Linked DNA regions of Oryzias latipes. The protein of the gene in region 1 binds, or shares a complex with, the protein of each later gene. Links are inferred from orthologs where the notes say so. Each region holds a gene or a part of one and is shown in the gene's direction. Other genes may lie near its edges.

Evidence for each region. Proteins that work in one complex are often made in the same cells at the same time.
Region 2: the proteins of mybl2 (region 1) and lin52 are in contact, whole or in part, in a crystal structure (PDB 6C48), measured with the Homo sapiens proteins. The link is inferred for Oryzias latipes from reciprocal best matches to the Homo sapiens genes MYBL2 and LIN52. Residues at the interface, in NP_002457.1 of Homo sapiens: Trp663, Val666, Ala667, Gly669, Thr671, Asp673, Gln674, Phe676, Lys680, Ala681, Gln683, Leu684; in NP_001019845.2 of Homo sapiens: Gln84, Ala87, Tyr88, Gly91, Leu92, Glu94, Ser95, Met98, Thr99, Lys102, Phe103, Leu107, Glu108, Lys109.
Region 3: mybl2 (region 1) and lin54 share a complex: the UniProt entries of both Homo sapiens proteins name them as parts of the DREAM complex. The link is inferred for Oryzias latipes from reciprocal best matches to the Homo sapiens genes MYBL2 and LIN54.

The regions. Positions count from the first base shown.
Region 1 is NC_019863.2:23,220,269-23,223,346, reverse strand, and holds part of mybl2 (myb-related protein B), read left to right. Parts: coding exon 1-85; intron 86-1,038; coding exon 1,039-1,171; intron 1,172-1,251; coding exon 1,252-1,317; intron 1,318-1,394; coding exon 1,395-1,583; intron 1,584-1,658; coding exon 1,659-1,925; intron 1,926-1,998; coding exon 1,999-2,141; intron 2,142-3,078. UniProt on the Homo sapiens protein: Transcription factor involved in the regulation of cell survival, proliferation, and differentiation. Transactivates the expression of the CLU gene.
Region 2 is NC_019880.2:13,721,143-13,725,363, forward strand, and holds the start of lin52 (protein lin-52 homolog), read left to right. Parts: upstream 1-1,409; 5' UTR 1,410-1,412; coding exon 1,413-1,446; intron 1,447-1,497; exon of another isoform or gene 1,498-1,557; intron 1,558-2,232; coding exon 2,233-2,286; intron 2,287-2,902; coding exon 2,903-2,977; intron 2,978-3,053; coding exon 3,054-3,091; intron 3,092-3,188; coding exon 3,189-3,255; intron 3,256-4,016; coding exon 4,017-4,100; intron 4,101-4,221. Other genes in the region: pomt2 (protein O-mannosyl-transferase 2), read left to right, coding at 31-142, 328-433.
Region 3 is NC_019870.2:2,882,969-2,887,083, reverse strand, and holds the start of lin54 (protein lin-54 homolog), read left to right. Parts: upstream 1-1,303; 5' UTR 1,304-1,435; intron 1,436-1,475; exon of another isoform or gene 1,476-1,726; intron 1,727-1,832; exon of another isoform or gene 1,833-2,254; intron 2,255-4,115. UniProt on the Homo sapiens protein: Component of the DREAM complex, a multiprotein complex that can both act as a transcription activator or repressor depending on the context. In G0 phase, the complex binds to more than 800 promoters and is required for repression of E2F target genes.

The DNA.
Region 1 (3,078 bases):
CGCCCGAGGAGGACCTGATCATCTACAAGGCTCACTGCCTGCTGGGAAACCGCTGGGCTGAAATCGCCAAGCTCCTCCCTGGAAGGTTCTTAACCCTTTAGCCCTGCAGATGTCCACGCCGACACCTTAATAACACACATTCTTGGGCGTACCGTAACACTTTGACTATTTATGCGCTCAACCTGAATCGGTGGATTACTATACTAACGTAAAGTGTTGCATAACAGCTCCAAGCTGCTTTTCTCCGCTTCAGAAAAATTGTCTGTATTTGAGAACTGGACTGAGTGAGCGTGATGTCACCCACAGAAAATGGCTTACTGGTTCCAGCGAAATGAGGTCAATTCAGTCACCAGTTTTTTACAATACCAAGGCCGCCATGTTGGAATCAGACGTCGCCAATGAGGAGTGATTAGTCTGAGTCAGCCGCTCTCGCCAATCAGGAGCGAGCTCGTTGGAAGTCCCCGCTAGGCCTACACAAATGTATCGCCATCACAATATCAGCCTGTGCGAGACGAGTGTTGCAAAAGACTAAATCGTTACCTTTACATTCGATGAAACAACCTCATGGCAGCTTAAAGTATTTAACGAATCCAATGCGCATTTGGCCAATCAGGTGGAGCCCGTGGGTCATTTGGAGTCTAAATTAAGTTATGTTGACTTTTTTTTTTTGTTTTTAACAAAGAGTTGCAGTGAAATAGTAATTGGTTTTTCTTTGGCTGTTTGTTCATGTAACTCGAGTCGTATTGTGTTGATCACTAATTTCATAAATTGAAAGTTGCAGTGCAGCCCTACTTCACGCCCCTACCACTCTGAAGCTGGCGACACAAAATCTGTCAAACGTTTGACGTGCACATTTTTATTGAGGCACCTGATTGGCCCATTTATAACTTGAATGTTCAGAATCCTCTTTAAAGTCTCGAATTGCGTAAGCGGTGGAAGAGTTACGGTAGTCGAAAGAATGACAAAACATTGACTAAACCCCTGCAGATTTCTGGGTTTGGAAACTTCCAAGTATCCATGTGGTATTTGTGGTAACAGGACGGACAACGCGGTGAAGAACCACTGGAACTCCACCATCAAGCGCAAGTTGGAGATGGGCTTCTACGCCGGCGAGGTGTGGGGAGCCAACGAGCTGGAAGACATGATGGCTCGTATCGGTAAAGACGTGCCGGTGGGTGAAGATCTCCTCAAACGCTTGTTTCCGGTAACTCATTTCCAATCAACTGAAGGTTTTGTTTCATGTTCACGCAGACGACGGCTAGCTTCTCCCAGGAAGCTCTGGAGACGGAGGAGGAGCAGAAACCCCAAGGCGCCTCGGTGAGCGGCCGATTGAATCCGTTCGTGACTCTTCACGGTTTACGTTCAGTTCACCTTGATGCGTGATGTTTCCGCAGCAGACGCAGGAAACCGCTGCAGAGAACACGGGTGAAACCAAGCTACTAAACGCCGCCCCCTCACCGAAAGACAGCCTGAGCCCTAAAACGGACGGAGAAATGAGCTGTGGCAGCTGGGTGGTGGATGGTTCTGGTTTCCTCTCCCCCACAGGCCCGGCTCTGAAGGAGGTTTTGGACCTGGTGGACGGGGTAAGATCAACTGTTTGTAAATACTTGAGATTGCCACCTTTGAGAGGACAAAAGCAAGGAAACTTCTGTTTGAAGGATCTGGACGGGTGGTGCAACTTGGCGGAGTTCCACCTTCCAGAGGACAGTCCCAGTCCAGAGCGCCACCAGTTCCGCCTGGAGGGCAGCGCTCTGCAGGAGCTGAGCAAAGGCAGCAAAGGAGAGCTCATCCCCATCTCTCCAGGCGGGATCACGCCGCCCTCCATCCTCACCTGCCGCCACCGGAGGCGGGTGGCCTTGTCTCCCGACACCACCATGACGCCCAAAAACACCCCCGTCAAGCACCTGCCGTTCTCTCCCTCTCAGGTGGGCCTCAACACAAAAAAACTCAGAAAAGTCTATTTTCGGTGCCTCCGTTTAACGCAGTTCGTCTTTCCAGTTCCTGAACATGTGGACCAAGCAGGACACTCATGACCTGGAGAACCCCTCCCTCACGTCCACACCCGTGTGCAGCCAGAAAGCCATCGTCACCACGCCACTGCAGCGCGACAAGACGCCGCTCACTCAGAAAGAAAACTCTCTGTGAGTCGGCCTGGTTGCAGCGTTTTCTGTAGATGTGATTTCATTGAACCTCCTGGTTTGTTGGAGTCGGGGTGCGCGGCGGCAGCAGACCTTATGCCTGAAGCTGCGTTCACAACGCCCCCAGCAACGCGCGTTCAAGCAACCACGTCCAATGAAAAGGCTATGTAAACGGGCGCTTGGTGCCTTCGCTTTCACGCATCGCTACACACGTTTTTAAAACCGTTTTCGGGCTCTGCGTTCAGTGGACACCTGTTGAAAGTTAAACCGGGTTGAATTTGACCAATCAGGGACTAGGATTTGGTAGTTATGAATGGATGGCGTCCCTTTTGATTCACTGAAGTGCCAATCATGAAGGAAAAATTAATAATTGCCTTTTGTTTCTGGACGGAATTCTATCACACCAAGTCTTTCAGAAATTGGAGTAGAGCTGGGGAAAAAATAGCCTGGAACAAGATTTTTGACATTTTTCGACATTTTACACCGAGTCTCTTCCAACAACAGGCGGCGGCCATGGTCTGTCACAGGTAGTGACACTCCGCCATATGAACACGCATCACATGCGTGGTGGTGTCACATGCACCCATACAGGTTCTCCTGTATGTCCAGGCTTGCGGAGGGTCGTAGACAGGCAACCCGATTCTTTAAGGGAGCATTGATTTGGGTTACTGGAGTTTTTTCAAATGTAATAGAATAAATGAGACGGGATTGATGAAAATAAAATAAAAACTGGAAAGAATAAAGCGCAAAATCCCAATAAAGCATATTGTGTTTTTGGTGTAACTCCTATTGCAACATTCACACCAGACATGTGACGTTTCTTCAAGAACACGCATTCTTGAACATACTTTTAGCAAATGGTGTTCACACTGGAATGTTGCTACCGGATACTTGTGCATGTAGTCATTGTCGGTGTGAAAGGTCGAAGCGGAGCAAATCT
Region 2 (4,221 bases), on another chromosome or scaffold:
CTTTTGAGGGTTGTCGCCTTGTTTCAACAGGAGTTACACTGGACATCCTTCTTAAAAGCTCTGACCTGCTGCTCCACTCTGTTTATTCTGACCGGCTGAAAGTTGGTGGATGGCTGCTACTTCAGCTCAGCATCCTTTACAGGTGAGACTCATAAGAGAGCCCTAACTTTGCAGTTTATATCAGGTGAAAGTAACTCTTCTCGTAACTTTTTGCATTGCAAAGTGCTAAATACTGTAAGGCAGACCTCATATTTACATCTAGTTGGTGGGAATGTAAAGGCAATAAAGAATTTGTTGATTTTGAGTAGATCTTTGTCTTCCTTCCAGTTTCTACCTTTTTCATCCTCTGTCCTATGGCATGATGGGTCCTCTTGCCCATGAGCCGGGCAGTGCCATGGCAGGCCTGAAGTGGATAGACTCCTGGGACTTCTAGTTATCCTTGTTTGATTAAGATGTCACAGACACGGAGCATTTTGAGCCGAGGGAATTTCAAAACATCAGTTTGAGTCTAAACATTTCATTTGTCTTTCTGTAAGAAAAAATGTGAATTCAGTCAGTTTGGAAAGCAGATTGTAGAATCTTTTAAGATGCACTGGAGTTGTCACCAAGTTGCCTTTAGTGACAAACTAAATTCCATTTGAAAGAGACAGTAGTTGTTGTTTTTTTTAAAGCCAGAACATTTTACATGTATTTTTAGTTGAGATTGTCCTGAGCTTTAGTATTATACTTTTGATTTTGTGTTTTTATTATGTTGATCAATAAATTGTTTTATTCTTGTATTTCATGTCCTGTTATATTTGCAAAATTTACAAACACAAAACGAGATGTGCCGCAAAGTCAAAAAATTGGAAAACTCAATATATATATATATATATATATATATATATATATATATATATATATATATATATATATATATAATAAATTGTACCGTTTTTTTATGTATACTTAAGTTCAAACTTGTAAAATCTGTGAAACATGGGCCTAGTAAACTAAATGCAAGAAATTGTTGTTATAAAAATATAAACTAAATGCAAAACATTCCAAATCTGGGATGTGAAAGTCTTGTTTAATAATTGAGTTATGGTTTTTCTTTCCAGAAATAAAAACTAGAGGGAATAAAAGGTGATTTAAATGTCCCCTAAGGTAAAACCATAAAATGTACCAGCATTGTAACATTTCATTGAGACTATGGTGGGCTTAAATAAGGGTCTTTTCATTAAGTTATGACAGTAATGTTCGTACTACAATTTCTAAGACGATATAAATCTTTGAATAAAACGAACAGTAATCTTCTGTGCCTCTTGTAAACAGCGCGAGCACCATTGCCGCCCTCTAGCGGCGTAATTTTGAAAAACATCGCCACACCTCAAAACAGAGCGCGGCCGCTGCGATTGGTTGTTGCATGTCACATGATTATTTTGAAGATGGCGTCTCCAAATGGAGGTAAATTTTAATTCTTCTCTCCGATACGCTTTGAATACATCGCAAATGTGACAGTTTCGAGACATTTAAGTCGTTAACAGTTATAACGCAGTGTAATGTGAACACCCAGAGGTAACGTAAAATTTGTCGTAGGACTAAATTCTTGTTTAATCGGTTTGTTTTTCTTCCTTTGTTTTTCCTGATTCTGGGACTGACATTGTCCGCCGTTGATGATGACAGCAGCAGTCCAGATTGTTCTTCTTGTTGCTTCGTTTGGCCGTTTGGCTCGAATTAGCATCAGTGCTACATTTAGCACTTAGTTATTTTTCTCTACTTTAAATTAGTAGTAGCTGTTTTGGTTGCTTGTTAGATTTTGTGTGACTGTTCGACTCCTTTGATTGAAAATGGAATCAGTCTGCTATTAAGTATTATGTCCGTAATGAGTATCTTTTAATGTGTTAAAAATGTTGAAAGCAAATTCTAAAAAGTTTAACAGTCTGCAGAACCAATAATGTTATTAGTTAGTAATTCACACTCTGTCAAGAGTTATTGAAATTTTGGATACAATTCTCTATATTGGTGAAGGACCAGTGTTCAGATTTGATAGCAAAAGTAATTGTTGATAAGAAAGAAAACCCTTTATACATATACAGACAAATAAGAAAGAAAAGTGTCTCTAACAAGTGTGCCAAGAAAAGATCCCCCATACCATCACACCACCACCACCAGCAGCCTCAACTGTTGATACAAGGCAGGATGGATCTATGGTTTTATGTTGTTGATGCTACCATCTGAATGTCCCAGCAGGAATGGAGACTCTTCAGACCAGATGTTTTTCTAATCTTCTATTGTCCAGTTTTGGTGAGCCTGTGTGAATTAAAGCTTCAGTTTCCTGATCTTAGCTGACAGTAATGGCAGCATTAGGTGTGGTCTTCTGCTGCTGTAGCCTATCTGCCTCAAGGGTTGTTCAGAGATGCTCTTCTGCAGACCTTGGTTGAAACCAGTGGTTCTTTGAGTTCCTGTTTCCTTTCTATTAGCTGGAACCGGTCTGGCCATTCTCCTCTGATCTCTCACATCAACGAGGCATTTCTGTTTAAATGGCCAAACATATTTTTACAGCAGTGTAAGAGTTATTAGTAGATGATCAGATCACCACATGACTATGACCTCTTTGAACATTTTAATTGATCAGTGTTTGTACGAATCTTAAATGAATAAAACCATTTATTCTCATTCGAAACTGCCTAATTTTAAGACCAGATAAATATTAGATTTTTTCCTCTCTTTCTGTCTAGATAAAACATGAAACAAAAGTTGTTTTTAGGTTTCAATTTTTGACCTGTTTATAAAAAGTTACTTTTTAATTTTTTTTAAATTAACATTTGGCTGAATTTTATAGTTGACCACTGATTTCCAAAAGCATAGAACTTAAAAAACTAAAGAACATGTCAAAGTGAACCACTGTGTGCTTCTGCAGGGGAGGATTTTGAGATTTCGTTGCTGAGTTTTGAGAAGCTGGACAGAGCATCACCTGACCTGTGGCCAGAGCAGTGTAAGTTTCTATCCTCCCACGCCCAGCTGATAAAAAATTACTTTGTAATTGATTCTTTATGTGAATTCTCACACAGTGCCTGGAGTTGCAGAGTTTGCGGCAACTTGCAAAAATGTGAGTTTAGCTCTGATCTAAAGATGCAGGATTGACTCTGCATAGACTGATTGGAGTTGAGACTTTGTATGTTGTTGTTTTTCTCTTTTTATTGCAGCCTATCACCACCTCTCCTCCAAAGTGGATGGCTGAGTTGGAGAGTGAGGACATTGAAATGTTGAAAGGTTGGTTCAGACAGCTGACATTTATCCTGTATAAACCTTAGGGAAAACATTAAAAACCCACTCTGATAAGAAAAACCGTGTTTTGAACATGTTCTTGTGGCATTTGATATCTTGACATCTGATAATGGAGGACACGTATAAAGAAAATTAAGCTTGAAATTGCATTTCTGAGTTCTTATTTATTCAAATCGTTGTGAATCAGGAGCAGATGAAAAAATGCTGTTTGAAATTTCTTATTTCTTAATCAATATTGCTCGCCATTTTCGTTTCTAAGGTTAGGTTGGGGGTGTGAGTGGCTGTAAGCTAGCAGTAGAGTGTATAAACTGATGATCTACTGCAGCTCTGCTCTAACTGTCCTTAAAAATCACACAGTGTTTTTTTTCTATCTCGGCAAAAAACGGCATAATCATTCATTAAAAGACCTCTGGGAACGCCTTTTAACCCTTGTGCTATCTTAGATGACCCCACCCTTACATTGACGTGTTCTTCCGACCATGACAAAGGTGGATAAAGGTGGAAAGATTTCATGTAATCCATGGACACCAGTGAAGATCATAAATCATTGAAGAAAAAAAGTTCAGCGCACTGTCTAGTGGGTCTACATGACCCAACTCCCAACGTTAAAGTGCCTAGGATAGCACAAGGGTTACAACAGATCAAAAGATCAAATCCGAGTGGGACTTTAAATAATAATTCATGTTTCTTTAGCTAATTAAGTATCTCTAAATGCTTTTATTTAGTGTGATGTTATACCTCTGCAGAGCTGGGAAGTCTGACTACAGCCAATCTGATGGAAAAAGTCAAAGGACTTCAGAATCTGGCTTACCAGCTGGGTTTAGAGGAGTGTAAGTATAACAAAGACACTTCACCACTAGGGGGGGCTAAAAGCATTTCCACGCAATTCTCTGCCGCTGAAGTCTTTGGCTGCTTCCACATTCAAATTCCAAACAGGTTGACCTCACTTGG
Region 3 (4,115 bases), on another chromosome or scaffold:
TAATATTTTGAACAATTTTGAACAGATGTTTTTAGAAAAAATACAAACTTGTAGATATTTTTTTAGTCTTCCCATATAGACGATAAACTAAAAAATAATTGGTTTTGAAGTTGTTGTTTATCATTTTTAACACATTTCTTTTGGCTTGTTTGATGTCAATACTTAAGTTTAAAAATAAATAAATTATGTAATTAGCATTAATCTTTCATCTAATGGCTTTTTAAATTGCAGCAGTGTTTTTAAATTATTGCCAGAGTTTTTTTTAATTGAAGTTATTAAACTCTATTATGAGGTCTGTTTCATTTCATCAAATGATCTAAACTAAATTGTTACAAAGTTTTGTTTCCTTTTTCAACCGTCAGTGAAGCTTTTTTCCTAACTTTAAGTGTCTCAGCATTTATATGTGCATTTTTGCAGGAAATCCTCTATTTATGTTCATTTTACATATTTCTTTACATTTCTAGATACCTAAAAGTGTGGGTTAAATAAATAAAACTTTTATTATTAACACTTGTATTTAAAAATATTAACAGATTTTTTCCCCCCATTAGATGATTAGAAATTTGCCTCTAAGTTGTGGGTGAGACAAAGGAAGTTGAGCAACCCTCCTTCCTGTCACCAATAACTGAGAGCTCTCTTTTTGCCTCCTCTCCCACTATATTACAGCCCCTCACACCCCCAACCTAATATTAAAGGGGGCAATGACAATGGTGAGCAACATTGGAGCTATCCAGCTGTACAGTTTTGATCCAGATACCAGCTCAGATGAGGAAAACAAAGACATCTGCTGGGAATAGAGCAGGGAACTTGTGGCCAGCATAAAGTTGACGTCACAAATGTGATCTTTTTCAAACTGCAGGTTTTTAACCTGCCCCTGACTCACGCCAAAATGAATAAAGAAATACACAAAAATGCAATTTTGAGCTTAATTGTCCTCCTTAATCAGAAAAAATGCCACAAGAACATGCTTAAAAAAACAAGTTTCATCGGAGTGGGTCTGTAATATTAAATACAAAAAAATTCAAGATAAAATAAGTCATAAAATCAAATACAATATATTAAAAAAAATCTTGCAGTTTTTCGGATTTCACGTGTTCTGTAGTACTGTAATATAATTTAAAGTCCAGATGAAATAAATTTAAAAAAAAGGTTGATAATTAGACCACTTACAATTGTGAATTTGACATTTTCTGAAAAAAACAGCTGATTATCAAAAACATTACATTTTTTCTGAAATTATTCTGAATAAAATTTCAGGACAGATGAATGAGGGGGCCTGTCCCTTTAAGAGTTACGTCACGGTGGTGTCACGCGAGGAGGGCGTGGCCGGCCTGTGAAATGTCAGGGAGGAATGGCGCTCGGCGCGGTATTTTGAACAATCGCTTTTACCTTTCCTCGCTTTAACTGGAAACGCTACCCAGCGTTTAAATCCCGGGTAAGCACGATTACCTGTTACCGCCTTGTGAACTTTACCGCACCGTTTGCACTAGAAAGCCGCGCACTTAGGAAGCTGTTCAATGTTGAGGTATAATGTTGTGCTAGCTAGCTGGGGTTAGCCAGCTCAGCAACTTCGCTAGGAGAGTTGTCCTGCCTGCTGGATGAAGATGAAGCCGCCGATGAGGAACCGGGTTTTCACTGACGTTTTCCGCTTTTTTTTAATGAAATAAAACAAAAAAACTTTCGTGCGCTGGGGCAGAAATACGCTGTTAACTGCTTGCTAATGAAGGTAAAACAACAACAAAAAACACAACTGGTTTGGGGTGTTAAGCCACTATTTCGTTGTTTTTTAATTGAACTGAAATTAGTGATCTTAGTAGTTTTTTCAGTTATCTTTAAAGCCTACGTTACAATCAATTTAATTACATTTTTAAACTCTAAGCTTTTTTTTTTTCAAAAATAAAAAAGGGGACATTTATTAACCACCGGAAACAAATTTAAACATGTGAAAACAACCAACGTTTTTGTGGAAAAGTAGTTCATCTGAGTTCTAGGTGTTGCAGTCCGAGAGAAATCCAAACTGACAGGAGGAATTGTGGGAAGCTAGCATTGTTTACACTGTCACAGAGTCCGCTCCGGGTGTTTGTGCGCGTGCCCCGGATTTCCCGGGTCTGCCCTCGAGCTCGGGGGAATGCCTTTGTGCTTCACCGTGAATCTTCTCCGTTTGGTGTCTCCGGCGGCTGGCGTGTCCGCTTTCAACGGAACCTTTTGTCAGTTTTTCTGCGCTAGCAGGGCAGCTAACCGAGTTGATGACGAGGTAAAAATGGCGGATCTTTCGAAATCCAACGCCGGCCTGAAATAGTAACGCAGACCGTAGACGCTTTCCCCCCCGTTGCTTCATGTCCTCGGTTAGACCCCCTCCCTCTGGTTCTGACTGAAAGCGGGTTTGGGCCCGCCTCCTCGCGGGGGAGGAGGAGGGGAGGAGTTCAGGTGGACGTGGGGGGAGGTTCGGGGAGGGTTCGCGCGCTTGCGTTGAGTTGGCCATGCACAGGACCGCTGCGGCCTAACAGACCATCAGCTGTCAGCCTCTGTCACAACCAGCTGATGTGCACATCCCGGGACTCCTGCACCAGAGGCGTGACTTGGTGGGGTTTGGGGTGTCTCCGTTGAGAAACACCAGAGAGGATTTAAAAAAAGAAATAAAAGGAGATCTTTCCATTTGCATTTATCACGCAATCTTTATTACGGTGATGGACTCAACCTTTAAAAAAACTACAACTACTGGCTGAGAATTGTACGGCTGGATTGCTCCAATATTGCTCATCGTTCTTGTTGCACTGGCAATGTTCGGTTGGGGGGTGTGAGGGGCTGTAAGCCAGAAGGAGAGAGAGTGTAAACAAAGGGATGATGGGAAGTCAAAGCAGGCTTAACACACCCCCCCCCCCCCCCCCCCCACCAGTGGTTCAGTCCCCAACTCTGAGGTGATTTTCTGATTAACTCCTGTTGCTCTGCAGGAACTATGTCCTAGGAAATGACAGTAGTTTTTGGATTATTGGCTAAATACGGCAGAATCATAAGTACAAGACCACTGGGAACACTTTGAGAATAGATCAGAAGATGATTGGAGTTGGACTTTTATTGTTGGGTGTCTATTGTTTTGTTTTCAATGTTGTGACGACACTGAATTGTGGGATTTCTTTCTCCTCTCCATTCTGGTCCCCAACATTTTTCAGGCTTGTTTGCGGCTGAAGTGGCTGTCAGATTTTCTTTTACCTCCCAGCTTTGTTTTATTTTTTAGGGTAAAGTTTATCTTCATCCTCTGTAAAAACAGAATTTCCTGAAGGAATCATTAAAATGTGAAATAGATTTTCCCTGAACCAATAACTGTCGAAGTGGAAGACGCCAACTTCAGCTTCGTCTGACCTTTAGTCACTGAAACTGATATTTTCTAAACATAAATGTAAATTTAACATTTGAACAACTTTATTAGCAGCGTCCTCGTAACATTAGACAGCCTTTTGCTGAATATTGTTGTTGTTATTAGTGTGTGTGTTTGTGTTTATGGGGGGGGGTTACAATAATCCACATTTGGAGTAAAGACTCCTGGTTTATGTCTGTTAAATGCAGTTTTCTGTTTCCTCTCTGGATCTTTCCTGCCAAAACAAACTTTCCAAATACGTTTTGTTTTTTGTTAACTTTGCTAGCTTGGAGATTTAAATTTAGCGGTCGGTGCAGCCACTTTAAGAAAGATGCATTTCCTACATGTGTGACTTGACAGAGAGGAATGTGGGTCGTGGGTTTTTTCTCTCTCTCTCAGTAAAGAGTAACGCAGATTTGCAGAGATGCTTCGACTAATGCACAGGTGAATTTTGACTAAATTAAGCAAACTATGGAGGCTGAGACCACAGAGTCTGCAGAACTGGAGATACGATCCATACTGCAGAAAACAGAAATACACGGAGTCTTGGATCAAAATGTTGTTGTTTTTTAAATGACATATTGTTTTTGTACTTCTGATTGTCTTATTTTTTTTTTTAATCCATAAAAAAAACAATCTCATTTCTGTGATCTCTGCTCAAATGTACTTAAACGTTCCCTCTTTGACAGAATTTGTTGTATTTTATTGTAACATTTTCCGAACCCCCTCCCCTCGCCAACGAAGTTTCTCTAAGAAAACG